Linked DNA regions of Coturnix japonica. The protein of the gene in region 2 interacts with the protein of the main gene of each other region in a biochemical or structural test. Links are inferred from orthologs where the notes say so. Each region holds a gene or a part of one and is shown on either strand. Other genes may lie near its edges.

Evidence for each region.
Region 1: the proteins of MAP3K5 (region 2) and NEDD4 form a complex in vitro, tested with the Homo sapiens proteins (2 studies listed by BioGRID, with this or other methods). The link is inferred for Coturnix japonica from reciprocal best matches to the Homo sapiens genes MAP3K5 and NEDD4.
Region 3: the proteins of MAP3K5 (region 2) and TXN form a complex in vitro, tested with the Homo sapiens proteins (3 studies listed by BioGRID). The link is inferred for Coturnix japonica from reciprocal best matches to the Homo sapiens genes MAP3K5 and TXN.
Region 4: of the proteins of MAP3K5 (region 2) and MAP2K4, one has a biochemical effect on the other in vitro, tested with the Homo sapiens proteins (3 studies listed by BioGRID). The link is inferred for Coturnix japonica from reciprocal best matches to the Homo sapiens genes MAP3K5 and MAP2K4.

Annotation. Positions count from the first base shown.
Region 1 is NC_029525.1:6,716,648-6,724,354, reverse strand, and holds the start of NEDD4 (E3 ubiquitin-protein ligase NEDD4), read right to left. Parts: upstream 4,701-7,707; 5' UTR 740-4,700; coding exon 1-739. UniProt on the Homo sapiens protein: E3 ubiquitin-protein ligase which accepts ubiquitin from an E2 ubiquitin-conjugating enzyme in the form of a thioester and then directly transfers the ubiquitin to targeted substrates. Specifically ubiquitinates 'Lys-63' in target proteins.
Region 2 is NC_029518.1:49,741,461-49,748,501, forward strand, and holds part of MAP3K5 (mitogen-activated protein kinase kinase kinase 5), read left to right. Parts: intron 1-223; coding exon 224-417; intron 418-683; coding exon 684-852; intron 853-1,687; coding exon 1,688-1,794; intron 1,795-3,422; coding exon 3,423-3,593; intron 3,594-6,936; coding exon 6,937-7,041. UniProt on the Homo sapiens protein: Serine/threonine kinase which acts as an essential component of the MAP kinase signal transduction pathway. Plays an important role in the cascades of cellular responses evoked by changes in the environment.
Region 3 is NC_029547.1:59,050,892-59,058,516, forward strand, and holds the start of TXN (thioredoxin), read right to left. Parts: upstream 4,480-7,625; 5' UTR 4,279-4,479; coding exon 4,255-4,278; intron 2,058-4,254; coding exon 1,953-2,057; intron 1,396-1,952; coding exon 1,336-1,395; intron 630-1,335; coding exon 564-629; intron 1-563. UniProt on the Homo sapiens protein: Participates in various redox reactions through the reversible oxidation of its active center dithiol to a disulfide and catalyzes dithiol-disulfide exchange reactions.
Region 4 is NC_029533.1:617,820-625,292, reverse strand, and holds the start of MAP2K4 (dual specificity mitogen-activated protein kinase kinase 4), read right to left. Parts: upstream 4,584-7,473; 5' UTR 4,338-4,583; coding exon 4,238-4,337; intron 1-4,237. UniProt on the Homo sapiens protein: Dual specificity protein kinase which acts as an essential component of the MAP kinase signal transduction pathway. Essential component of the stress-activated protein kinase/c-Jun N-terminal kinase (SAP/JNK) signaling pathway.

The DNA.
Region 1 (7,707 bases), on a different chromosome or scaffold from region 2:
TGGTTTTCTTCCTCACCGACACAGCTTCTTGGTCAAAAGCAGGGTTAATTCTACACACTTCTATTTCCTCCTGAGATGAACTGCTTCTGTATGGACTGTATTTGTTTGCAGTGTTTCCATACGAAGAATCACCATGTACAACACTACAACAGAAAGAACCATCGCTTGTGGAGAGAGTGCCGCTGCCGCTGTCACTGATGACGCTGTTACTATATGAACCTCCATCACTCGTGGTACTTGCACATGATCCATAGTCGCTGCCAGCACTGCTGAAGGACCCATTGTCACTGGCTGCAATACTGTTAAGACTGCCGATGCACACAGCAGTATTGCTCAGATGGCTATCGTTAGCTTGATGATCAACCACAGTTCTGATGCCATAATTTCCTTCATTACAAATACTGATGAATGAAGCATCTTCGCCAGCAGCTGCAGCATCACCAGACCGAAAACATTCATTATGCCTTCTAGATTGCAGAGAAATGTGCAGAGACGTGCTCTTTTTTTTTTGCAGTGAAGAAATAGCTGCATTTCCCTCTTGATTAATTACTTGCTGCATTACAGGTGCACAAGCAACTTGTCTAGAAGCCAGCTTCATTTGTATACCATTAAGTTCAGAATTCTGTGCCTTTTTGAAGTACATTTGATTGTTACTATTCAAAACATCTTCGGAGGTTTCCGGTAACAGATCCGTGTTCCTTCTTTGGGTTGCAAAATGCAGTCTTAACCGTCGTGCCATTTGTTCTCATTTCCATGCATATTAGCAAATTAAAACCACAAAGATCCTTCAGCAGAAAGTTTACAGGCAGCTGCACAGAACCTGGAGCTAGTGCATCACAACAGCAAAAGCCCATAAAAGAAGTTGCAAGCTTTGTCCTAATTTCTACAGGATAGTAGTGTTAAGAAAAAAGATATTGTACCTCTTGAAATCAGTCAGCCATTTGTTGAAGTGCAGTTTCTGGACCGTCTTTGATTGCTCGCAGTCAGAAAGCATTCATTTATAAAGCACTTACATTCCAGCGACCTCAGCTGCAACGTACTGACAAACACTATCAACCTTGTTTCGATTATACCTTCTGTAATTTGCATATATGAATATAATAATAACCTCTCAGCACTTCCAAGTTTAAAACAGCAGCTTCTGCTGCAGCTGCACTAGCTGAGTCAATGTGTCCGTACTTTCCCCAGCAGCGTATGACTACTAATATTTTTACCCATAGGTTTAGAATTACAGGAAGTTGGTAGGAATGAAATCCCATATAATTGAGTATCAAGTCTAGGATTGAATTTCCAAATAGTAGCCATGCTAGCAAACTGCTGAGGTCTGACTTATGCATAAACCAGCAAAATAACCCTCCTCCTTAAAAAAAGTTTTTCTAGGCTATTTAAACAAAACTTGAAAGAAACCTGGCATTACCTAACAATCTGCATTCTGTTTAACCAATCACTCTTTGCAAAGATTTCCACGTAGTGAAAAGGTCTCCTACCAATTAGTTAATGTTTTTTAGTGAGACGCCTCTAAACTCGAAGTGCAACAAGATACTCTGATTAATAATTCAGTGCTTATATCCAGACTGCCATGTTAAATAATATATTTCAACCTTTCCAAATTACAGCTGTTGAAGGTAGAAAGAAACAAAATATTCTTACAGTGCAAAGCAAAGTACCATCTTGTTTGCTGGAAGCCCAGAATAAGCGGACATTCATTACAGTTCGATATGGCATGCAAATGTATGCCCAGCTACATAAACTACAGAACACTGAGAGAATTATGCACGACGATAAATATGGTCAGTGAGCACAATTACAGAAGAAAGCTATCCTGAATAAATATATATAAGCTGTCTTCTACATTCATAGTTAACTACTAACTTGGTTTTATTTCAGTAAACTGATCAAAATGAAGAGCATAGAAAGCAACTAATACACTGTCATCTCTTGAAAGAATAACAGGATTGAGAGATCTTACAAACATTTCGCTGTCTCATCATCTGGAAAGGTCCTTTGCTGGCATCTAGTGGGACTTCTGAAAAAAGGCAATCTTGCCTTTCAATATTTCTTTTTCTTTTTTGTGTGGGTTTTATTTTTCTTTTCTTTTTTTTGAAACATATTTGATACGAATGTACTTATGAATACAGAAGCCATATGTACAGTATAAATACATACATACAGTACAAAAAGGTACCAGACTAGCATGAAATTACTTAGTGCTGCTGAAAAAGCGCAAACAGAGAAGAACACTAGGCCATTTATACTTTTATAGGTCACACTACTAGATTTTTTTCTGCTCCATATTTATTTAACCTTTGCTGTATTTTAAGCTAGAAGGTAATAAAATTAACATTTAAACCTCCTTCCCAAATAAGAGCCAAGAATCCAATTCACAGAACTCTATTTGCAAGCAACAAATTTGTTTTCTAATTATACTCCAGGGCTTACTTAAACTCCATTACCTGAATTCCATGATTAGAATGCAGCAGTAAATGAATACTACCTTATTCATAAAAGCCAACAAATACAATAGTTCGTCTATTCCATTATGCTTCACCAGCTGGATTTCTTCTAATGTTACGTGTTGGAGCAGGAAGAAAAGTAAAATACCATAAAAGCTTTTTTGGTCATGGTTTTAAAAGAGTTACAGTTGAACTACAAGCAGTATATTTTAAAAAGCACACACCCTTAACCATGCGAATGAAGAGGAAACAATGCAGTTCTTCAAGAACCTATCTGTCCCAACAATACACCTATCAGTAGCACAGTTCCTAACATGTCAGTTTCATATGCAACAAAAACCTGCAACAATTTTACTGCATATACTCTTGTCATTAAGACGTATTGGTGATAAAGCCAGTCCTGCAGGACTTCCAATTTATGCCAAACTTTGAAGAGGATTTTTGAACCAAGTTTTCAGGAAAGCAACATTACTTAAAAACAAGAAGAAATTTCAAGCTTTCAATTTCTCTTCAGAATTTAATGGGAATTAAAACACGTGGGACAGAACTCTACAAAGATGAAGACAGTCCCACAACTGTAAGAGAATGTCAGTGTTATCAACTTACTCACATCTACATTTTAAACAGTTGGCCAGCAGGCAGAACAAAGAATGACTGATTGCCATACAAGCCCACTATAATCACCGAAGATGAAACACCTTTTGAGCACAGCTGCGTGCATATCCTTGTGAAAAATCATGAGGCATCCATGATTTTTTGACATGAGAAGACAACAGAAGTGAACAAGACTGTCAGTCTCCCAAGAACCACAGCAAAAGTAATGATTTGACCAACTGAAGTAGTTCAAGACACATGGGATGGAAATTTAGTGTTCATTTAACAGAAAGCAAACTATGTAGAAATAGGAAGACAGCGTTTTCCACTGACTGAATGAGGAGATAGGAAAGATGTAAAAACATGTTATCACAGAACTACATAGTGAGTGATTAGGTCATGCTGCTTTGGTCTCCAAACTCAGTCACATAAAGGAAACAAAGCATAGTTTCACACCGATGCCAGTAAGATGTCTTGTTGATTCCTTTCCCACAAGCAAAGAGGTCAAACAACTCATCTACTTTCTCTTAGAGAATGAACAACAAGGAATTCCCTTGGTGGAAACCAAACTCTGCTTTTTTCCCCTTAATTTGGGCCTCAGATTTTCTAGTCATGCCTCCTGACTTCCACCTGGTGGCAGTGCGGTTCCAAAGACTATGGACTGTACTTCAAGCCTGCGCTGCAGCCCTTAACAGCATTCTGAGACTAACTTCTGAGCATCCTGACACGTCAACCACAAGTTCTGGTGATTCCATTTAAAGTTTCTGCTTTAAATATTTGAAATATCTGGGACAAGAACCACCACCAGCCAGCAATAAAATGACTTTGTTATTGTGTGATGGCTACAACCAAGAAATAAAGCTCTCCATTCTTAGACGTAATTATTCAAAAGAAATCAGAATTCGATTTGCAGGCATTTCCATTCTTTCAACCATTAGCATAAAAGGTACAACAGATTATTGACAATCCAGACAGCATTAGGAAAAAATGAAAGGGTTTTTGCTGCTAACACATTCCTCAGGCATTGATATTCTTCAAAATGGCTAACAGAGCAAAAAAGTGTCTGAAGTGCAAGCTAGAGACCACTCAAGTCTCTACTTCAGTAGAACTTAATTGGAAAGGTATATATTCCACTGAGATAGAATGTCTGTTAAACTGGCTTACAACACAAATGTTAGCCTCTGTAATTTACAATTGAGCATATGGGCAGAATAAAAAAGGAAGACTCCTCATGTAGGAAACAAGAACATGGTCAGGAGTTAGAATTTCACCAAGGACACAAATGCACAAGCTATCCCCACTTTATTTACGATAACTCATTCAGTGAATAACAAAGTAACACTCCAGTGTCTGCCTGTTGACAAAGAAACACATTTCTGTCCCACTGCTCCTTCATGCTATTGAAAAAAATGCCCCCATGAATACAAACATCTACACTGTCAATGCTGCTTTGTAAGAAAAATAAGCATTCAGTAGAGAGCTTTCAGTGTCACTTGGTCATAGCACTGGAGAAGCAATGTAAGAAAAAATGCTTCTGAGTTAAGCACGTTAGAAGTTCAGAGTTAAGGCCTCATTACTTCAGAACATCTAAGTGTGGTAGTGGCAGAAAAGTAAACAAATCAGGTCTTCCTTTGGGTTGTTCTTTTTGTTTTTTCCAGTTTATTATTATTATTATTATTATTATTATTATTATTATTATTATTATTATTATTATTATTATTATTATTATTATTATTATTTTAATTTTGAACATTGAATCCAGATCAAGTTATTTTCACTGAAGCCTTTATTAAATTGCAATATTAATAGAAAAGGACCTACCAAACGGTTTTCATCAAACACTTCAAAAAGGAGTCTGTGTTTCTGAGGATTAACCTAGGAAAAAGAAAGATGAGAGTAGTTAAAATATCTGCTGAATTCCACTGGTTGTGTCATTAAGACAAATGAGATACTTCTTTCCTTCTGTATAAGCACAGGGAGAATAATAAAAAGTCAAAATTAAAATGGCTGTTTCTCACAGAACTTGGTATGAGAGTTCAAAAATGTATCATTGCTTTTACGTATATCAAAGCAAAAACTAAATGATGCTGACATCCAGATTAAAATTGTTTTCTTCCAATAACAGTGGCTCAGAGCAAATTGGTTTAACTAGAGGTCTAAAAGGACCAAAACGTATTTTCTAACATTGAGATGCATAACCTAAAAATATTTAGGATTAAGTTTAGGGATGGCAAACTAGTGAACCACACACTGTACTTCTATGGAAGATTTTAAACCAATGGTCTATCTTTATCAGCCAAACTAGAGGTCTTGGACAAAGCCACAGCAAGAAAAAATTAAAACAATTATCAGTCAAAAAATTATTATAAAAAGGTATAGCAAACAAATGCAAGAAAATGACCTTCTTCTTCCTCCTTACATAGCACTGATAAAAGAGAAGGATGAGAAGATATAGCTTCTAAGCAATAAGAAAAAAGAGAAAGCAATAGTAATGCTTGAAAGAGAACAAGGAAAGTGAGAAGAATTAAAATAACACCAATGGCACAAGACCAAGCAGTCCATCTAATAAGTTTATCAGATGGGAATAAAAAAAAAAATTGCTTTCTAGAACTAACCATACATATAAAGATATCCAAGAGTACAGCATTTTTTTATGTTGCAGAAAAGCTCTGACTGGAAACTGATGATACTTTAAACTGATGTTACTTTATATAAGGTCACAATTTCCTCATTATTCAAGATCTGGGTTGTTTATAAGAGGAGGGAAATTCATCATCACTTGGGCATGCTACACAAAAGCAGTTTTCTCACATTCCAAATTCAGAACTCAAGAGTTCTTCAGCAGTCGCTTACAAAACTGGGACCTCCCAGTTCCTGAAACGCTCAACAATACAGTGCATATTCTGACTGTGCGCTTGTTGGACAAATAAGACCAAAATTAAACATCGAATCTACATTTTGTTCCTAAAATCTAAATAATACTATGTTCATTATGCAACACCACCGATTGGCACCAATTAGCCAAAATCTTGCCATCCCAAAACTGGCTGATAAATTCATGCCCAAGTTTTTGTGCATTAATAGAACAAAGAAGGTAAGATTTGTATTTGTGCTACAGTAAAATTTTCAGTCTTGAAAATAACAGATGTACTGCTAAGCAAAGTAGTCCATGAGCCTTTGAACATTAATTATTTCTGCATTTCTGGTTTAAAATGGTGCTGCAAGAAAAAAAAAGATGATTATTAACATAACAACCAACTCAGGTAATAACATAATAAAAAAAAAAAACAAACGCAAAATACCTCAAATACTTACTCGAAATAAAAGTTCTTCATTCCACTTTGGATTCAAGGACTGTATGTAGGGAGGAAAAGGACAACATTGGTTACAGTACCAACAACTTTCCAGTGTCTTTTTCTGCTTTTCTTTCACGTGTCACATCTATTTCATCTCCTGTAACAACCTACTTCAAGTACAGAAACTTTAATCTTGCTATTACAGATAAAAGTCATAGAAGTCTTATGCCATTTAATGCTGGGCAAAATTGATGATACAATTTACACATGTATTTCCAGATTTTGGGTAACATCAGGGATGCAGAAGGCAGCCCATCCTACCATGCAAATCAGTTAATTTACTGTATATTTTCAGTAACACTCACTGCTTCCTCTCAAGTCCATATCCACCATCTGCATTGCTTACACGTAAGCACAAATTAATTCTAAATTATGAACTGTTAGCAAATGCCAGATCTCTTAACAATGCCATCTAGGCACACCAGGCACAGGTGGACCAAAACTAACATTCTCTGATCAACCACACATCAATTTTGAGGGTGCCTATTCTAAATATACTATACATGCTTAATAACAATTGTCAGCATGAAGGTGAAACAGAAACATAGAAGAACCCTTGGGTCAGCTCATAACACAAATCACAGTCATTACCAACAGTCATTTGGAAGATTATTTTCTCTCTCATGTATAGTCTCTCATTTTCTATAGTTCTACCATAAATTATTACTTCTAACATTGACTTTTGTCAGCAGATATCCTAGAGAAACCAGAAGTATCACAGCTCAGGTGAACTACACAATTTGGTACAAGACAGAAAAGATGTATAGAAAGAGACAGATTATTACACCGTTAAGGACCTAAAACAACCAAAGCAATCCAGTATTTCCATTAACCACTTAGTTTTGAGTCACTGCTTACCTTATCATCTTTACTGCTTACAACAACAAATTTATTGAAAGGAAAATACTTAAATAATGCCATAAACAGAAAAACAGAGTAGACTACAGAACGTGTCTTTCACTCAGGAGGGATGTTAGTCCTCATATTTCTTGTCATTTTAACTTCTTCCTCAGAGTTTAATGAAAGAAATAAAACCCACATCCACAAAGACAAGTAAGCTAACCTTTCTAATAGTTTTTGTCTGAACACTGCTAAGGACTCCATTCACTGGATCATACACTGTCACTTTCACATATGGGTCACTGAGGGGAAAAACAAAAAAAAAAAGATAAGCAAGTTGCTAGATATCCTTTTTCTTTTTGTCAGCATTATTAGCAATTGAGCTTTAAGAGGTTTAAATTAACAGAAGCTATGAAAACTAGGAGTTATAATTACTTTATAAGGCCTATATATATATATTAACA
Region 2 (7,041 bases):
CCATTGATTTATGTTACTGGTTTTAACATTTGTGATATATGTTTCAGACGTTTATCATGTACAAGATGAAATTTGGATATTTGTAATTGTAGGCTCCATATTTAAAGTCTTAGTCCCTTTTGCCTTCAACAGGTAAAATTTTACCCATTACGTAAGCAGGTTTTCCTGGTTTAGTCTTGCCAAACAATAATTGCCCTAATTATTGTGCCTTGTTTTCTTACAGATGTGTACTGGTAACTACATCTTTGTTCCTTATATGATAACTCCGCATAACAAGGTGTACTGCTGTGATAGTAGTTTTATGAAGGGACTAACAGAACTGATGCAGCCAAGTCTTGAATCACTGCTTGGACCTATTTGCTTACCTCTGGTGGATCGATTTATCCAACTCTTGAAGGTGGCGCAGGCCAGCTCGGGGTGAGTTGATGTTTTGTACTCCTTTGTATATTGCATTTTTCTGCTGACAGTACAAATATCAGGTCTCTTGCCTTCAGAGTGAGTGATGTTTCTGTTGAGACAAATTGATAATGAATTAATGAATAATTCAGCTTGACCGACTCTCCACACTAATGCTGCTCTATCAGTAGATGTTCCGTGAAGGTATTGTGGTAGAGTTGCAGTGCTGTAAAAACAGATGCAGAAGAGCTTTCACAAAGTTCTAATGTTTCGTTGTTCCTTTCCAGCCAGTATTTTCGGGAGTCCATCCTTAATGACATTAGGAAGGCCCGTACCCTCTTCACTGGCAAAGAGCTTGCAGCAGAGCTGGCAAGGATTCGGCAGCGAGTGGATAATATTGAGGTCTTGTCTGCTGACATTGTAATCAACTTGCTGCTGTCCTACAGAGACATCCAGGTATGTATCTTCTGCTCAAAGACAATCCATCCAAAATGGGATAGATTTAATTTTTGGTGGAATTCTAGTGTGTTTTGCACACATTTTCTGAGAAACTATATAAATAATGCACACCAGTAAAAAAAATTGTTACAGTATCTTCACCGATGCTCTTTACTTCTGGTTATGTTGTTGATAGTGTACTTTCACATAGCTGAAAAGATGTTACAACAGCACCTAAAAAAATATGTAACGTACATCATGTCTCCATGTCAGCATTGCTACATGACAGACAGCCTGTAGTGTGCCCTACTTAAAGGCCATGGTAGCGTTCTGCTATTGATGTGTTCGTGTTCTGACTGCGAGCTATATCACCATGCATATGACATTTCTCTCGGCGACATAACATGTTTGTATGCACTGCAGCTTCTCTGAATGGTACTAGTAATTGCTCGCTTTATTATACATAGTTTCAATTGTTGCTTCTTAAGTGTTTTTAATTTTTGCTTGTGTCTAGTGCTTACCTTGAAGAGTTTTGGAGTACTTCAATACAGACGCAGTTAGTATTATAATTTCTACCTGATATGAACACTGATATATGTTCAGCCCTGAAGCTAACTTGTATTATGAAACATGGAATGGGAAATTTCAGTATGTATATTTAAGCAGTTCAGGAATCCAAATCGTGTTAAGTGCTCTGTTTATTTGCAACTCTTAGTGCCAAGCCATTTATAGTTTCAGAGTGAGGAATGTAAGATCCGGTATGAAATACCAGCTCCTTAGTTCAAAGAAGAGTTTGTATAGGCATACTTCAGTACAGCTGCTTAAAACTTCATTGTTCCTTTCTTTTTGGAAGGATTACGATTCCATTGTGAAACTGGTGAAAACTTTAGAAAAACTGCCTACTTTTGACTTAGCTTCCCACCACCATGTGAGGTTACATTATGCGTTTGCACTGAACAGGTAAGACTCTACCTTTCCTACTACTGTCAAGTAGTAAATCAATACCACAAACTCAATGTGTGGCTGATAATCCTGGTTATAGGTCCCTACTGGAATCTTTGTATACAGGTCTAGGGTTCTCACTGTAGCAGTTCTGGGGACTCTTGACCTTCATGATGAGTTTGAGCTTCCTTTTCCTTTCATACTGCCAAATTGCTTTCCTCTTCCTTCTCTGTGAGTGTCTGTTTTTATTTATTTGTCTTTCCATAGATCTGCATCAGCATTTGAGTTTTTCACTTCAGTGTCTGAGTCTGTAAAAGTAGAATACACTTTTAACATCGCTATTGCCTGACAGCATTGTAGCATTTGTGCTGAGTTAGACATCCTCTCATTCAAGTCTGAGTTCTCCTATTGTCAGGAGACAGGAGAAAAACTTCCATGAAGTCATATTTACTGTGTTACAGTACACATTTTTTTTTTTTTTCACATTCTCCAATAAATAAATAAATAATGTGCAGTGTGTCACATACAGCAACATGCATCACTTCTTTGAGTTAAATGGGAGCTAGGCTCTTGTGCTTTTTTGCTTATATTGTGATTTTTCTCAGGAATCTGAAATACTGGCAATTGAGGATGGCATTAAAGAGGGAATTTTCCAGTGGAAATTGCAGATTTTCTGATCCCTTGGTGTTATCACAGCAAAGATTGCCCTCTGATGTTTAGAGGAGCAGACCAAGTGTCAGCAGGCAGTGCAATTCTCAGATATATGTAGGTTGCTCTAAAAGTAATGCCTCCTATTGTTTTCCATGGAAAGAACAACAGATACAAATAGCTCAGTAGCACTGTTTGATAGAGCAAATTCTCAGCTACAAAACAGTATTTTTCAATATCACTGTTAGCTGTGCATTTTCACCATGCCATGTTTGTAAAAAAATCTGCACCAGTGGAGGTGACCCACTGTCACCACTGCTGAAACACACCACCCACCGTTTCACTGTGCTCACATCTGCTGTTTGGTCTCCATCAACGTTCAACAACTGTCAATAAAGGTTGGTGGGTGCCATTGTTTCTGCATGAGGGAGTTCATTGGCACCCCTTTGCTATAGTTCCATGTCAGATACCATTCTGTCAGACTACCCCTCTGCTGCCATCTTTCACACAGCAACAACATGTAGCAGAATGTTGGAGGGAAGGCTCAGCCTCTACTGCCATAGCACCAACAGCAACATCTGATATCATGAGCCATCTTAAGAGAAAACAGGAGACAGTGCTTTTGGAGCAGCCTTTGCATTGCTTTTTATAAATAAGTATTGCATGATCTCCCTAAGGATTGCTCTCAAAGCTATTCTTACTGCTGTTACTGCTTTGCGCTAGCTGATCGTGAGGGAGAAAACATGTTTGGGGGCTTTTATAAAGAAGGTTTTTTTTGGTAGTGATGTTTTTTAATCTTTGTTTTAAACATGTTTATAAAATAATCCATTGCACCTAGGAGTGCATTTTACATATATTTATATATTAGTCTGTAATCATATCTTTATTTAAAATCATGTATTTAATCTTTAAACGAATAACTGTATATTCAGATTGGTCACAAAAAGGTATTCCTTGTTAACACTATTATTTTTTATTGCAATATTTATTTTTAATAGACGAAATCTGCCTGGGGACAGACAGAAAGCTCTAGAAATTATGATTCCTTTAGTAGAACAAGAAGATCAAGTAGCCTCAGATATGTACTGCCTGGTTGGTCGCATTTACAAGGACATGTTTTTGGAATCTGGGTTCATAGATACAGAAAGCAGAGACAAAGGGACCTTCTGGTGAGTAGTGTCTTCCTGGTCTATGTGTTTTTCTTAGCTTTAGAAAACATTCCTTTAATGAGAACATACTTCAACTCTTTTTCATTCCAAATATTTTGTGTTCTTGATGGTTATGCTAAGTCTTCTAATCTGGGCCTCGCTTACTTGTAAAGAATGAGAGACTTATGTTGTCTGTACGTCAGCTTCCATGAAGCTCTATAAGTTCTTCAGAGCCTTGGAAGTTGAGGTAGCCCTCATCACAGCTTATCTTTCTCCTCTCTGTCAAATGTGAATTCTCTTGTTTTCTGCATTACATTTGGGAATCTGGTCCAGATATTATTCAGGCTTGAATCAATAGGCGTATCTGCAGCCTGGTAGATATTTACCAGCTATGCTTAAAGGTTCTAAAGTATAACTGTGCTGATGCGTAGAAAGTACCATTTTTGTCTTTTTTTTTTTTTTTTTTTTTGGCTTTCTTGCTGATGAAGAATATAAACTCATGCTCAGAAAAGGTTTATTACCTCATCATCACCATACCATGTCTGCGTATTACAGTGGACCACAGTACAAATTCTTATGGTACTTGCCTCTAAAATGATCGTTCTTTTTCCTTTGGAATGTGCTAAAATGCCAACTTTTATGTGGAATAGATTAAAAAAAATTCTTCTGTCTCTTGTCAGTGTCAGGCCTTCAATTTCCAAAGGAAACATACTTGAAATTGTAACATTAGATACTTTTGCCAGAGTGAGCTGTTTTTTTCCGTTACAGTCCAGAAAGAGAATATAGGTAAATACTTGTGCATATACTCCATATCAAATCCTAGTCCTGCTCTTGAGTTCATCAGCTAACTGTTGAAGTAATTGCTTAGAACTGAAAGCTTGATTCTCCTTCTCTCGTTTCACTTTTTTTCAGTAACCTTCAGATTTGAGTTGCCTTTGGTGAAATACATAATTATTCACCATCTGCAGTCATAGAATACACGTACAATTTCTAATTGTTGGTTATGTTTTACACTTTTGTAATGCTTACTGGACTCTTAAAATATACTGCAATAGCAGGAATGCAGCATGTTATTTCCCCCCCTTCCCATTTCATAATTTTGAATTAAAGAATTTATCTAAGCCAAAGCTCCTGTGAAATTTTCAAAATAGTTGTAAAATAATGTTTTGTTTAATGTTAGCTGATACAAAAAGTAAACTGTAGTCCTTATCCGGTACTAGGCATCACCATAGACAAAACAAATTAAATGAACTTACGTCTGTGATAGTGTATCTTGCTTTTTCCTCATTTGTACTGCTTTAAGAACAGATAAACTTTGAGATTTTCAAACATAATCAGGTGAGTTTATGTGTTTAGTAGGCAGAATTACTTACTAGGATGTTTCACACAGCTGTTTTAACATGCTTTTAATAAATGCATCTGTCAGTCATGTTGCTCATCTACCTTCATGAGGTGCAATGATTGCAGTCATAACAGTTTGGGGGAAGGAGAACAAATGCAGCTCTTGCCATGGGTAGGACACTGACAGGCCAGCTCTTCCATAATCCTTGAAGTCTTTGGTCAGTAAGACCAAACTGAAATGATCTGGAATTTGACTGGAACCTGTCCTGGGTGCGCCAGTTGCATTTTGTATGTACTTTATGTTGAATATTGATTTGAATACTCGTGTCAGTCATATGGCAGGCTTCATATGGCTGAAGGGTTGAACCATAACCTAATTGGTGGCCCTTGGCTGGGAGCAAAGCTACTACCAGTGCTGCACCCTGGCCTCAGCGGGGGCGGAAGAAGGTGTGTGCGGGAATGCCTCCACAATTGTATTAGTTTATGTCGAGATAAAGTTTATTATCTTTGTCTTAGAGAAATTTAGTGAATTGCATAAGATAGGAATTTGGCAGCAGAACCAAAGTGTTAGTTTTGCAACAGCTAATGATGTCAGGGTACTTTGTGCTGTTAGAGAAAAATAAATGCAGGAAGTGTGATTTTTCTGACAACTGAAATGTGGAGTAAAAGGCATCTGTGATAAAAAATATGAGACAAGAAATGAAAGTCTGATTGTTAACTGACACTTTCTTGTTGCATACTGACAATGTAAATCAAACTCACCAATGCTATCAATGCTTCTTTCAAATCCTTTTACTGCTACTCATCTTATTCAGTGTCTGTATTGCAACATTTTCCTAAATATCAGCTTTCAATTTTTTGGAGCCCCTTATAATGGAATTATCTAAGCCAACCTCTATCTTTAGAGGAAGACTTCTAAACCTGACTGCTTTTCTGCAAGACTGATTCCTTCTGTGTCATGTAGGGCTTGTCAGTGTGCACCAATTGCACCTGTTGAATTTAAACAAGTTCAGTTAGTGGATGTTAATTGAAAGTGGTTATTTTCATTTGTTGAAATAATTACAAGTTTTTCATTTTTATTTTTGTCTGTGAATTTCTTGTTGATTCTTATTGTTTTTTCTTGTGCATGTTGCAAAAATTATGTCACGGAGGATGCTACTTGTCAATTGAAGCTTAAAGAAGCCAAGGACTGAGTGTAGCAGAAGAAATAATCTCTCTGATCCTAGGAAATAATTTCTCCATCCCCCGTGGTTAGGGAATATGGCCTTTTTTTGTTGCCTGTACGCGACGCTTTGTTTTCAAATCAGTGCATTGTTTTTTGAGGGCTGTTCATCAATTGCTTCTGCAGGCAATAGCTTTTTTTGTATGCCTAAGTTCATCTCTGCCTCCTTTGCCTATATGTTTAACATTGTTGACAGCATGCGTGTTTCCACCTTTGGATGATGCACATTGGAGAAGTTTATTTTATTTATAAAATCTGAAGTTCTGTATTTGTCACTGAAATAGAGAAATTTGGGTACTCATGCCAGAAATGAGGCATTTGTGTGTCACTCGCTTCTGTGTTTATGTATTTTGATATGCTTATGTCACTGGGGCAGATCCATGATCTAAAGTCTCAAGTTAGTGAAAATCCATAAGAGGATTCCATTTAAGAGAAAATTAAAGAGTCCATTAATAAATATAACTGAAACAGGTCTTTTAAAAGTTGATAATACTATTTTTTTTTATCTCTGTGGAAAAACTGTGAATCCAGTAAGATACTAACTGTGCTGGGGTGGATAACCAGGGTCTGTTCTTGTGTAAAGGAAAATGAAAGAGGATGCATATATAAGTAACTAACTCTTAAGTAAGTAAGTCATTCCTAAAAATAGACAAAAAGCACGTACAGAAAACAATATTTTTGTTTCCATGGATTCTTGCTATGTAAACAGAAGATAAGCACCTACAGAACCTAAAAGTATAATTATGTCCCTACTAGATTGTGTTATTTGGAAAGCAAACTTGTATGTTTGTTTTTTTCCAGGTTCAAGAAGGCGTTTGAGTCAGAGCCAACACTGCAGTCGGGAATCAATTATGCAGTGCTTCTTCTGGCAGCTGGACATTGCTTTGATACTTCTTTTGAGCTTCG
Region 3 (7,625 bases), on a different chromosome or scaffold from region 2:
GATAGAACTGCTTGGAGCAGCCTGTCCCTGCACCTGCTCTGTATCCCATCTATCCAGCTCACAGCATATAATGCAAAGGGGCTCTGTTCAGTCCTGCAACCTACATGGGGTCCCTCCACAGGTTTCACAGTCTGTGTGAAAACACTCAAGTAGTGGTTTCAGATGGGAGTATATTCAGATTATTAACTGATGTCAGGAGGGATTCTACACATATAGACACGTCCCTGCTTGAATGTGAACTGTGTACAGAGAATGAATGCTAACAGATCAGCAAAAGCAGAGCATTAGGGCAGTCTTGCACATTTAGCCTCACTAATTCATCATGAAGATCTGCCCATAAGACTGACCTGCAAGACTTAGTTCACTAGGTCTAATTAATAGAGTTTGCTTCATCAGTTGCATCTGGTCTATGCTGTATTTGCTGTAGCACTAAGATTAATTTAATTGCTCTTAGAAGTGTCCCAGTGCCAGTTGTGACCCAGATACATTATTAAGAGAAAGCAGACTATGTGGCCTAGCCTGCCTCTTCCAGGAAAATAAGTTCCATAAAAAAAGAAGCCTACCTTCTTTCCGTTCTTGTAGAACTGGAATGTTGGCATGCACTTCACGTCACAGTGTGTAGCAACATCCTGGAAGAGAAAGAAAACAGTCTTCAGCTGTGCATGTCTGAAGGACACCAGAATTTAGAACCCACTGGTTTCCTTTTGATAAGGAAGTTGGACAAAGTCATCACTGTTCAAAAAGAAGAAAAACATCTTTTCTAGTCCAGCACTGCAAAGGCAGTGCAATATTAGCATCTTTCTGAAACAAACCTAAAAGATCCTCCCTTCAGAATCTAATTCATACAATAAGAGCACGTGTTTACTGCATCCACACTGTGTTTGGAGAGTACTCAAGAACACTACAGCAATGTTGCTGTTTCAGCCTGAAATTGTTTAAGTACTCATTCTACACTACTGAAACTGCCATAGAGCAGACATCTTATTACACATGGTTCAACACATGAAAGAGGAAACAGTGCCAAGGGCAGTGGTGAGACCAGACAGTCTTGTACTTGTGTAAGCTATTAGTTTTAGGGGAGATTGCATCAAAACAGATTAAGGCTTTGGGAGGAAGTCTCAAGGGCAGAACACCAGTGTTCCCAAGTTATCTCATGTGTGCCATAGGGGTTAAGACAGTGCAGATAACTAAAGCAGTTCATTCTTCTCATGTACTCTAAACATTCATTCTTTTCTGCCTAGTTGGTGGTGCCCATCTCATTTTGTTTCAATAAATCCAAGGACACTCATTGCCACTTCTGTGGTTCTCCAAACCTACTATCCCTTTGGACCTTACCTGGGCATCATCCACATCGATTTCAATGAACACCACATCACCAAACTTGTCAGACAGACTCTAGAATGAAAAATGAAATTATGTAGTTACAGGTCCAGGAAAGCCAGTTCTCAAAAAGATGCATTCATAGAAACTGGTGCTGTCAGACTTAACATGTTACCTTACAGCAGCTGCTTTACTGACCAGAAATTAATTTCCAGCTCCATCCCCTGGAAGAGTCTGCTGAAGCACCTAAGCATAAGGGAAAGGCCTTTCCTTCCCTTATGGCTTCCCCCTCAACACATAAAGATGCTACAGCTTAACTGAACGCAGTTTAAATAATCAGAGCCAGCATATATACATTATTTCAACTCCACTGTTGCCAGTTCTTGTGGAAATGCACCAGCTAGGTCCCTACAGACTGATGCATCAGCACACCAGGACAGACAAAACGCTACAGTGTGTTAGTTCCCCGCTGTGTATCCAAGTGCTTTATTCAATAGTTACCTATCATATCCTTCTAAGATTCCTCCTTCAGGAAAACACACCATAGACAAAGAAGGTTTCCACCATATTAGAAGTTGCACAGAAGTATTTCTATATACTTAAAGTTACTGTGAAAGACAAAAGCTACTTACATGGAAAAATGGCTTGATCATTTTGCATGGTCCACACCATGTGGCAGAGAAATCAACTACTATAAGCTTCTCACCAGCAGCTTTCAGTTCTGCCTCAAATTCGGACTGTAAAGAAAAAAGAAATCAAAACATTAAGGATTTCCCCCCTCATTTGCAAAAGGTTCAAGACTAACCCCCAAGTCAGCTTTCCCTTAGCTCCATCAGCACTGCATCCCCCACTGTCTTCTGATGAATTATGAGTATCAATTATGAAACATCACAATGCTCAGTCACTGAACTGTGGAAGTTTATGTAGAACTCAGCATGAACTGAGACCGTAAGCTAAACTGAGTAATGTTACACTTCTAACGTGATCCTGACGGTCCTTAGCATTCAGTTCTAATCTCCAATTTAATAGGATGTCGTCCATTTTCTTCTAGGATTCCTCAGAATCTGAGGACAAACTTCCACAGTTTCATGGTCTGATACCTTTCCCAAGCAATGGTTAGAATCAAGATGTTGCGTGGTTTACCCTACAGCATGTTTCCTAGAGCAACAGCTTCATCATATAAATATTTTATTATGCCAAGTAAATTGGGGTGTAACTCCAGTACTCAATGCAAAGCTACACAGTCTATGCCAGTAACAACTAACATTTAAGGTTAACAGAGATATCTCTGTTGCACTTTGTTACAAGAGACATTTCTGGACATCACGCTTTGCATTTCAGAGCTCCTTATGTGCCGCTGTTTTCAAAGAGCAAATGTTTCAACAGAAGTGTAAGGCACTGAAGGAAAGAAATATTTGCATGCTAAAAAACAAACAAGTATCTCAGGCAGAGCAAGCAGAGGATGCTGATCCAACACACAGGCAAGGGTGGCAGCAAGAAGTTCTTCCTCTCTCTCTTCTTCTCCACCACTGTGCTAATGTGGGGTGTATTCCTGCATCCCAGTCTCTAAAGCACAACACTGCCTCCAGCAAAGTTCAGCGTTCACATACACAGTAGTCCATGCTATCTGCTCCCAGTGGTTACTTAAAACCATAAGGCTGTTAAATAGAGCCTCACTCACTCCCACCTCCAAATCCCTGATTTCTGGCATATATTCTCACAACTTAGTGCTGTAACAGCCTTATTAATATTAATTCTACCTCCTGCACCCACCAATTGGACTATTTTCCTCAGTCCAAATGACTGATTGCTGTACCCTGCATGAGGAAGGCCATCCCTGGGACGCGCTGATCATATGACCACACATCTCAGGGCAATATTGCACAGAACAAGGGCAAAGTGGGAGGACATGGCACTTCCTGCAGATCACAACCCATACACCACTGGAGATCTGAGCACTGCTCTCCAGCTGCAGCCAGGCGTTACCCTGTGAGTCATCCCTAGAATTAGCTAAAATTGCTACAGGCAGCCTGAGAAGAGACACGAGGTCCAACGGTGTTACCCCTGAGATACCCAGCAAGGGGTAAGTGTTGGTATTTTTTCCTCAGAAAACATTAATATCCCTGAAGTAAGGAATACAGCAGGAAAACTGGCTGACCTTTCTGACTTCTAGTCTTTCTGCAGTAAGTATGGATTAATAAGATTCATACAGAAATATCTCCATTATCAGAATGGACACCTCCCCCTGTTAGTCCACGTGGCTACAGCTGTTAGAGGATCTCACAGCTTTTTCAGCAATATTTTCCTTAGTCCTCTGGAGGGGAAAAGCCCATAAACACTTTTCAAATACCCATCTGGTGCCTCCCTGAGGCCTCGGCCTCACTTTGCTGGGCGCAGCAGGCAGCATTATGTTAGCAGATTTCAGTTTCCAAGGGCCGGCTGCGAGAAAACAGGTGGCAAGGAGAGGTTCAATGCAGCAGGGATTCCCAGCAACCCAAAATGGAGGCCACCAACCAACGCCGTAAGAAATCCACCGCCCTCAGCATAGCTGGGACAGCCTTAATACAAGACCCCAGCTATAAGCACGATGTCTGACACCCACCGAGCCGCCCTTGGGCCGTGCTGATCCGGCAACCTGATCTAGTAAAGGCGTATGTTTGGTGGCCCTGCCAGGCAGGGGGGTTGGAACTACATGATCCTTGAGGTCCCTCCCAACCCGGGTCATTCTGTGATCGCGGCCATCAGCTGACAGCCAAGGGTCAGGGCGACGTGTTGCAGTTTAACCCGCTCCCGCAGTGCCCCCTGCGGCCGGAGCGCAGCCGCCATTGGGGAGCGGCCTCAGGCTCAGCGCACACAAAGGAGCGCGGCCCAAGGCCCGGCGCCGACACCAAGCCCCCCTCACCCACACCCCACCGTGCCGCCCCATGCACTCACCAGGCTGCCCACGCTCTTCACCATGGCGGCTCTCACTGTGCTGTACGGTCACAAGGCGGACAACGGGCTCGTCCCCGCGCACGCGCGTCCCGCACGCCGCTGCGCTCTCGGCTGTGTCTATACCGGTCCTCACTCCGCAACGCCAAACCAACGCTCTGCCGCCGCCGCCCCGGGCCTGCCCTTATATAGCCACCGCTGCATCGCGCATGCGCACTGAGCGCTCAGCCCATCGCCGGGCCACGCCCCTTCCCGCCCATGGCGCGGGTGACGTCACGAGGCGGGAAGGGGAGCGGCCGTTATAGTTCTTTCACAGGGCGGGGGTTGGGGGGAGCAGCGAGAGGGGGGAGAGGAGGGAAAATAGGGGGAAAAAAAGAAATAAAAAAAAAAAAAAAAAAAAAAAAGAAAGAAAAAAAAAACCAACCGTGTGACTGTAAGAAAAAGTGCTGCGTAACGCCGAGCAGGAAGTGGCGGGCAGGATCCTGCCCTGGAGGAGGGGAGGGGGTGGGAACCCGTATGGGGGGACTCCTCCTGTTTTATTTCTCGATTCTGTTTTAAAATCGTTTTAAAACTGGGTTTTTTTTCTGCCTCCAGCACCCATGTGCTGCGACACGGGCTGTGTGCTGGCCGTGCCACGTGTCTGCCTGTCCCCATGTCCGTGTGTCTGTCCCCTGTCTGCCCATGCTCCATATCTTCCTTTTCCTTTTATTCCCAGCCCCCTTGGCTTGTAAGAGACCCCAAAGATCATCCAGTTCCTGCATGGGAACCAACGGCTTCCCCTAGTTCAGCACCATCAGAGGACAATCAGTGTGCACTCAGCTCCCCGATAACCCACTGAAGAGACTGGACCTTAAATGGAGCCAATGCAGGACCCCACTGGTGACAATCTGCCATGTAACCCCATTAATACAACCCTCCAGTCCTGGCCCGTCAGCCAGCAGTTCTCCCAAGGCATTATACAGTGTCTAAGTGGCGCTGGACTTTGTGACCAGAGGATACAGTGAGAATCACACAGTGCAGCAGAAGGGCCAGTTTCACAGCAGATCCAAGCCTGGCCATGTCACAGAGGGCTGGGCACGTCCGGCATTAAGCAATGGTGCAGACAGCTGCCAAAGGGAGGAAGCTGCTGGAAGAACTGCCTGCAGCAACAGCTGCACCACGTTTTATCGCAGGAGAGACGGGTTATCTGCAGTGCATTACCACGCTGCATTTCATCTGGCCCTGACAGTCTTTAATGGTGCTTTCCCGTTCCTTGCAGCCTGCTCCTTGGGAGCACTCTTCTGTTGTAACTGACCCATTAAAGGTGCAATAAATATTTAATAATTAGATGGGTGTGCTGGGTGTCTGCCAGCCATATGCGCAGTGCACACAGAGCTCTGCTCTCACTGGTGACGTACCCAATCACCCAGCCTCTCTTGAACACTTGGCAGAGCACATCTGGTTGAAAGACGGAGGAGAAGCCATTGAACAATGACAGAAAGGAGGGGGAGAGCACTGCCACATACTGTACTTTCCAGGAATCAGCCCTGTGCTTCCAGGAAGCTGGCAGGAAGCAGGACCATCCCTGGGCCACCACAACCTCTGTGTGCCATCCCAATGCACATCCCATGAGTGATGTTCACAGGGTTCTGCAGCTGCCCACTCCCCTTGGTGTTCTGTGCTAAAAGCAGCGTGCAGGATCCATGCTCAGCACAGATGCATTGCACAGTGATGCAGGCAGGTTTCAAGGTGCAGTAATGCTTAACTGCTTTTTGAAAGCTTGGTAATAGAAGTCAAAAATCCACACGTGGCAGTAACCAGCTCATGCAGTTCCATTATCTGCTTCTCTGGCTCCCACCATTCATTGTCTTAACATCAAGTCTGATCTGCACAGAGGATGATGTTTTCTCCAGTGCCTTTTGAAGGGAGCCTCTATTGTGGAGCAATGGGTGGTAATGTGGGTCTAGTTCTTCACTTCTGCTTCCAGTCCAAATTACAAACTGGTGCACAAGTACAAGCTTTGCTTCTGAGTGCCTGACATCCATCTCTTTTCACATAGCTGTTTTGCTTTGTTTTTCTTGTCAGCCTTCCATCTGCCTTGCTTTTCTCTTCATTCTTGACCTCTCCTGTGGCTTTTGCCTTTGTGTCTGTGTGCATCCATCTCCTGCAGGGTAAGAGATGTCAGTCCTCCTGGCATTTCTTCTGCATGATGTGCAGGGCAAGCCAAGGACTATGACCTGGCGCAGGTGCTTTAGTACAGTTCAATGTGGTTTGCATGCAGAAGCCAGAGACCTGTTCAGGGCTGTATCAGCAGCATGTGATGTTCCCATAGCCCCTTTCCTTCCAGTGCTGCGCCACAGAGATTAATTCAACCTCAGGGTCCCTAAGCTCAGAGGGGTGGCACAGTGCTCTCCACAGGGAACAGCAGCCTCAGCTTTGGGTTATCTTCATAGATGGGAGAGGCAAGTGTGGTATCTCTTGCAGGACCTCCATATGGCGCCCCCATGTTGTGGTTTAACCATCATGTGGCTGAGCACCGGGAGCCCTTGGCTGAGAACAGCCTTGGCTCTGTACAGCACTGCTTAGCAGCAACTAGAAACATCCGTGTGTTATTAGCATTGTTTTTTTGCTAGAACCAAAACACAGCAGCATTCCAGACACTCTGTCCCAGCTGAAACTAAGACAATATCCACCCTTTATTCCATACCATTTACATCATGCTCAGATCCCACAATTTCTACACATCCTAATTACCATTCCCTATCTTTTTTATTGTTTTTTTTTTTTTTTTTTTTTTTAATATATATACACACACATTTATTTTCAGTAGTCTATGAGCCACCCATTTAAATTGTCCATGGTATTCATTTAGTTCATAACTTTGAGCTCCATCTGTCATAACAGTCCTTCAGTGCAGGAGGGATGATTCACAGTATTGGGTTACTGCATGCAGAAGCTAGTTCTGGTTCCATCAGAGTTCATTCTTCTTTATCCCAGGTAATTCTTGGTGAAACAGACTTTTTGAAAGATCTGAATTATTTTCTTCCCTTTCTCAAAAACTTCTCCTGCTGTGTTGCCCCACATGATGATGTCATCAATGTATTGCAGGTGTTCAGGAGCTTCCCCCTTTCACAGTGGCCATATGGGACTATTAAAGGGTGAGCAAGTCTTGCTGATTACTCCTTGGTTCTCCAGTTGGTAAATCAGCTGATGAATGGGAATTAGGGAGTCCTGGTTGGTGCAATATTGCCACCGGTGCACCACTGTAGTAGCAATTGGCACCTGCTCTTAGCAACCCCACAACAGAAGGGTCTTCTGAGAGACCAGGCAAGGTAGACAGCTGCTTAATGTTTTCCATCCATCCCAGCTGAAACCGAGACACCCCGCTGGGACTG
Region 4 (7,473 bases), on a different chromosome or scaffold from region 2:
GAAATGCAAAACTAATCCTTAGCGGGAAAGGCACAGAAACACACAGGAGTGCACTCAGACAAGCACACAGACAGAGAACAACCACGGCCTGGCAGAGCCACAGCACAGGGATGACCTGGTGGACACAAACTGATTTTCACTGGCTATTCAAACATTGCTTTATACCTAACCTGCTACTCACACTGTTCTTTGCTTCCTGACCACTTTCTTATTCTCCAAATTCCATTCTTTATGGTTCCTTAAGCAAACTGCCATGTATAGAGATACTCATTTCCCTCACTTTCTCCGCAACATCTCACCTCCCTGAAGAAGTAAGTCTATCTGCCAGCCTTTTCCTTGCCCTCTGCCCCCAGGGCCACCACCAGCCACTGTCTGTACACACCCATAAGCCCACTCATTGCTGGCTCTGACCACAGAACAGAAGCAGTACCCACATTGTGCCCTGTTCAGAATCAGCCCAGAAGCACCAGGGTCTTGTCTCCCTCCTGCTGCCAGGAGCTGCCCAGCTCATTCCCTCCATTCATGGAGGCAGCAGCACCAGAAGCAGCGAGTGCTTTGGGAGGTCCTGATTTGCCTCCAGCACTCTTGGGATGCTGAATGCAGGAGATGGATGCATGACACAGTCACATGCCCTTCAGCTCCTACTTGGCTCTGGAGATACAGTGACTGACTCCTCAGCTCTGTTAGAAATAAATTTTACATACACCTTTGAATTAATTAAATTTCTAAATTTTATACCATAATTTTTCAAAGGGCAACTTGCTCCAGTGCGTCACCACCTTGTGTGTGAAAAACTTCCTCCTAATATCTAACCTAAACTCCCCCCTGCCTCAGTTTAAAACCATTCCCCCTTGTCCTATCACTATCCACCTTCATAAACAGTCATTCTCCCTCCTTTTATAAGCTTCCTTCAAATACTGGAAGGCCACACTGAGGCCTCCCTGGAGCTTTCTCTTTTCCAAGCTAAACAAGCCCAGTTCCCTCAGCCTTTCTTCACAGGAGAGAAATGCAAAAATGCTCAGACTACTGTTTTGTTCTTGTGTTTTCATTTTTACACTTTTTAAGACCACTCTCCAAGTGGGATATCATACTTCCACAGAACCTCTGCTTCATCCACAGTACAATGAGGATACAAAATATATAAGACTGTTCCTGGGCTTCTACCACTGCACATAACTAAGAGGGAAAGCAATTTCTCACGCCATCTGTCACCAGTGCACCAAAACAGGCCACTATTTATCCCTCCCCCTCCCCCCAACAAAAAAAAAGAGAAGTAAAACCTATTTTCAATATTTAAGATTCCAGCTCTCCTTTGTCTCTGATCTGTCAACCATGCACTGAACACAGTGCTACGAACTGCACTTGCCAGGGGACGCTCTGGGAAGGATTGAAGTTCTCAGGTGCATGGGCACCAATGGCAAACACCATCAGCCATGGAGACATGGGAATGAAGCTAGACATGCTGAACAAGAAGAGTACAAAGACCTGAAGCAACACTTTGACTGCAAGGCTTGAAGGACTCCAGAAACCAGTGCTGTCAGGGGAGCAAGTGCTCTGCGGCCATGCCAGCTGTGGCAATGGCTCCACTCTTCCAACCACTCGCTCCTATTGCCTCCCTCACAGCAGCAGTTACACAAGGTGGCTCTGAGAATGCTGGAAACTAACTCAGCAAAACTTTTTTTTTTTTCCCTTACTATAATTACTCTGTAGTTTAATGACTTCCCTGCTCTACCTTGTCATACCACTTAAGCCAATTAAACCAATACTGAGGCAGTCCTACTTACTTTTGTCCCCACCCAGCAACACATTCCTGAGCATTCCTTGCATCAACACCCAGCCCCACCACTAGTAAACGCTGGGCATCCCAAAGACAGAACACTTGATGTGTCACTTCCAGCTGATTTGGTTTGTAGCACTCAGCTTGCAGAGACACTGGTGTCAATAGGGAGCCGGTGCCAGGGAAAGCAGGGAAGTACACAGGATGAGGCTGTGGCACTTCACAGGGCAGCAGCACCTGTGCAGATGCCACTGATCCAGACAGAGCCACCTGCAGAGCCAAACAGCCCTTCCTGACTCAGCTCTCCTCATCTTGTGCAGCCAGAGTCCTCATAAGGAGCTCCCTGCCAGCTTCAGGACTTCTCTACTGCTGTGGCAGCCACATGCTCACTGCCACCAGGACTTCTGGAGGTCCCTAGGCCTCAGCTCCTCCCACGGTACCTCAACATATCTGTTCACTTAAGGAAAAAAAAAAAAAAAAAACACAACTGTTTAACACTAGATTTCACTGAAAACACTTGCATGTCATCAAAATGGTCTGTCTCTATGAATTCACACCTAAAAAGGCACTTTAAAGGAACTAAAAAGGAAACGACTGCCCTCCCTCACAGGATATTTCTGTCATTGCAAACTTACACTACATCACGGATCCTCGTGTCTGCACAGAACTAACCTCAGCACTGAAGATACATGAGATTCACAGCAATGATTCATAAATATGGGTCAGGTGGAAGTAAAGGACACAATATAAAAGTTATAACAGCGCTGAAAGATGGCTATTTCTGCTCTTAGCACAACTGCACCTTCAGTCAAGTTTTTAAATCATATACATTACATTAAGAGGTTTGAGACTGTGGTTTTTGAAGGCTGCTGTAAACATGTATGCTATCAATTTCCCAGCACCCAACAGGTACCTCCGTGGTCTGACAAACATGGGACCTTCACACAGCAGAAACCAGAGAGAGTAAAAATCCATCATCTGGTTCCAAGGACACCAAACTGTGTAGTTTTATGTAATCAGCTCTCCACCCAAACAGGTCCCCGTCAGCCTATACATCGGTGCCACCTACCCCAGCAGCACAGAACAGACTTATAGCAAACTGTGCTCTTCTGCCATCACCACAGAGAGCACAACCTTCCCTTCTGGTCTCTTCTAAGAAGGAAAGCGCAAACAGATTCCTTAGTACCACCATCCTCTTATTAAACTAAAAAGTCATAAACCTGCTCTGTGTGGCCTCACTGACACCAGTTAAAACGCTGCTCAAGCAAGGAGTATTTTCTAGCGGTGTAACTTAAAGGAGAGAACTCCAAAGGCATTCACAGCGACTTTCTGAGAAGTGAATACCCACGGCTTTTGCAAGAATACTCTGCCACCAGCCAGAGCAGATGGGAAGGCTGGCAACATTACCTTGCAGTAATAACCGTACGTTTCCATCAAAACAAAACAACAGCAACAAAATCAACCACAAGTTCACCATTAAACTGTCTTTACTTAAACATCTGTCTGCAGACACACACATTGACAGACACGCAGACCCAGGAGGCACTGAGCAGCAGCGAGGATCCCAGTTTGGAGCCGCAGCAGAACGCAGCGCTCCGGGGGCTGCGGCCCACCCACCCCAGGGCTCGGGTCCGAGCGGCCCGCGGTGCATCCCGGCGCACTGCTCCTGCCAGCCCGATCCCCCCATGCCAAGTTCTATGTGGGCAGCGCCGCACACAAGGCACGGCCGCAGCCCGGGGTCTCCTGCGGCACTTTGCCACCCGGGGACGGAGGAGGTCCGGGGAGGGCACAACGCGCAGCGCGCCACAGGGGAGCCAGAGCGAGACTCTCCCGGCCTTTGTTTCGCTCCTCTCGGCCTGTCTTTTCCTCAGCCCCTCCCCAGGGAGCTGCTCGGGGCCGCAGAGCCGCAGAGGAGGGCACCGAGACGGCGGTGGGCCGTAGCGCCCGGCGGGCAGAGCCGCCCGTCCTCCCGGAGAGACCTCGGGCTGCGGCCCGGTTCGGCAGCACGGCGGGAGGGCCGAGCGGCAGCCCCGTGTGAGCGGCGAGCGGGAGGCCTCGGCCTGCGCCCCGGGGGGTGGGTCCCTATGCCGGGCCGCGGGCCCCAGCCCGCCCGAGGAGGGCCCGGCGCGGGGGGCACGGGGCGGCCGGCACCGCCGACCCCGCGGGGGAAGCCCCCGGCAGCAGCCCTAGGAAGCGCCCGCCCCGCTAGCGTGCAGCCCGCGGAGCCCGCCCGCGCCCCGTGGGAGCGCCCCCCACCCGCCCCGGAGCGGCCGCGCCGGGCACAGAGAGACCCGCGGGGCCGCCACGAGACGGCCACCGCCCCCGGGCCGGCCCTGCGAGGCCGCCGGAGCCGCAGGCGGAGCGGGACGGGGAGCCGGGGGTGTGGGGCCGCGCCGAGGCCTAGAGCGGGGAGCGCTGCCCTGCCCGGAAGCGGCTGCGGCCTAGCGCGGGGCTGCTTACCCTGCATGCTGCTGACGGCCGCGTGCGCCGGCGGCCCGCCCGGGCCCGGCCCGCTCCCGCCGCCCGAGCCGGAGCCGCTGCTGGGGCTGGGAGTCGCCATTGTGTGCGCCAGAGACGGAGCGGCGCGGAGGCTGCAATGCAGCAGGGACCCTCCCAGGCAGGACACCTAGAGCCCCGCCGCCGTATAGCAGGCGCCGGAGCCTCGCCGTCCGCCCCCGGGCTGGGGCTCCCGCTTAACCCCTCCCAGGCGGGGCGCCCGCGGCCGCCCAGTACTTTCCGCCGCCGCGGCGGGCCGAGCCCGGGCCGCTGCCTTCCCCGTGAGGTCGACCGCTGGGCCCGAGGTCTGCCGCCCCCCGCCCCGCTCCTCGCTTCCAGGGCGGCCCCTCCCCGCCGCCGGGCCGCTCGGCGTTTGTGTCCTGCCCGCCCCCACGTCCTCCTTCGGAGCCACCTCTACTCCCTTCCCCGGGGGGCAGCGCCCGGCTGCGGGTGGCAGCCGTACGTAGCGGGTGCCTCCGTCTCCTGTCCGCGGTTCCCACCCCGAGCATCCCTGTGCTGCGTCCCTCTTGATTTCTCCTGCAGTGCTCCCCACTAGGGAGACATTGCTTACTCCCACCAGGAGTGGCCGTCATCCCCTTTTGGGCCACTGTGTGCCCTCCAGGAGCCCCATGTGTGCCATGATCCCAATGTCACAGTGTGCCCCACTGTTCCACCCGAAGAACTTCCTTGACCAGGGGTGCACAACCTTCTCATTTCCCTGGTCTCTCATCTCCCTCCTCAGATTGGGCTATCGGTTTGTCCAAGCAGCCCCACATTTCTCAACACACAGCCCTTTCCCTCGCACTGGCATCTACCTGCCAACTTGTCTTCTCATGACTTACCTGAAACCTCTTCCCTGCAGAGTTTAACTTCGTCCTGTGTTTTCCATTACAGCCAGGGCAACAACCTCCTTCTGCTGCTACTGTTGTCATCATTGTCGTTTTATTTCCTCCATTAGCTGCTGTTCATTCCAGCACATTGCATCTGCTTTGTTTCTGATTCTATCTGTAGTTTCATTCTTACTCTAAGGGACAGCACCATGCACCAGGGACAGGAGCAATAATATTTGTCCCAAAAGAGAAGGGCTATCTTTCCAGCCCACCTCTTTCACCTGCAGTAGTCCCTGTTTCTTCATCACAGAAATAATATTGACTTCCTTTATCACTTGAGATCCACTGATGAAAGAGCTGTTCCTGACCATCTGCCCTTTCAGCCCCATCCTTTCCACACCAAAAGGACCACAGTCAGCTTTCTCCCTGTCGCTGGTACAGCTTCCCTGGACAAGTGCTGGAGAGTCTCTTCATGCACGCAGGCACACACCTGTCAGTGACAAGTTTGCTGGGTTTGATCTGAGACTCCAACCCATCCTATCCTGGCTGCTGCTCCCACTGGAATCACTTCTAACTCTCTTAAAGCTGCACGTACATTCCATCCTCTTTGCTGCTATAGAGGGTGAGAAGCAGGAAGCACTCACGCACAGAGCTTCCCACAAGGACTTCCTGCATGTGGTCTGCACAGGCACCGCGGGTGGCAATGGTGCCATCTCTTGTGGCAAATCAGTGCTGGTACTCAGACCCTTCTGCAACAGAGACCACAGCCCCTGCTGCATGCAACAGCACAAGCACTCATCTCCAGAAGATGTACCTTTATCCTCTGCTCCTCACTCTCACCAGAGTGGGACCCCAGTACTATGGCCCTGCTTCCCCAACATCAGGGAGCACACAGGACTGCAAAGAGGAGTCTTTGCACATAGCCTCTGAAAAGAGGAGTCACCCAAGTGGAGCCTAACACAGCAGACAGACAGCATTCTCAACAGCAAGAGCCCAGGGCTGAGCAAGGCAAGCAGGGCAGGTGCTGTGACAGCAACCAGATTGAGCCAAGATGCCAGGCTGCCAGGCAAGATAAATGCCATAAGGGAAGCTGAAGAAAAGATGGGAAGTCAAGTCAGGGTGTGGCTCAGTGGGGACATGGCAACAATGCAGCTGCAACACTGGGAGAGATGGGATCTGAGTATAAGCCCTGGTTTAAAAGCAGCACAAAAGAGAATAATTCAGGACTCCCACCCAAGGCTTCTTCCAGCTTTTTCTTTTTCTTTTCCTTTTTCTTTTTCTTTTTCTTTTTCTTTTTCTTTTTCTTTTTCTTTTTCTTTTTCTTTTTCTTTTTCTTTTTCTTTTTCTTTCTCTCTTTCTTTTTCTCTTTCTTTTTCTCTTTCTCTTTCTTTTTCTTTTTCTTTTTCTTTTCCTTTTTCTTTTTCTTTTTCTTTTTCTTTTTTTTCCTTCTTTCAGTGTTACAAGTGTTACAAATGCTGCTTTTGAAAAGCTTTCTTTTTTCAGCCATGCAAACTTACATACAGAGTCAAAGGCTTGAGTGAGGGGCATATGCAGTCCAGTTCTGGCACTGAAGACATCTCCCCTAGATCCACAACCTTCCTTTCTCTTCCCTCTCCTTAAGCTTTCTCTTCTGCCCTAACCAAGAGTGCAAACCCAAAGCTGACATCTTACAAGTCACAATAAATAGACCCAGTACCTGTTGGAAAAGCCAACAGCTGGCTGCCATCCCTGCTTCACGCCACCTGCATGTGGTTTACACAGGTAAGGACTATTCTGCTTCTCTTGTTTCACCCTGCAAATCTGGGAGGATCAACAATACCTGTCCTGACACATGTTTGGGAAACCTATTCTTAAAGACCTCCAGTGATGGAGATTGTACCATCCCCCAGCAATCTGCTCTGGCACTCTACTATCCTGACATTAGCTGAAAGCCTAACTTAAGCTTTTTTGTCTGAGCTGAAATCCTTTACACCCCTTCCTGTTCACTACAGCAATGAAATACAAGTAATTCCTGTCTTTGAAATGACCTCTAAGGCAGTTGGTGACTGTTTTCTTTCCCCTTCTCACTCTTGCCTTCTCTTCTACAGGCTGCATCAACACAATTCTTTCAGCCTTCTTTCATGTTTCCTGTGCATCCCAGAATCCCCACTGTCCTCCTTTGACTTTCTTCTGATGATCTGCATTATTTATTTGCTTGTTTGTTTGTTTTTAATACTGTCCCTGTCTAGGCACACTACTGCAGCTTATCCTGCTTTCCAGGATGGCATTTGCCTTTATTATTGCCAGTGTTCAGCTTGCTCACCACGATGCCTCTGCACTCTTTTGAAATCCCCTATGTAGTTGTTCCTTCACTAGTGTTGGTGTTGCTCA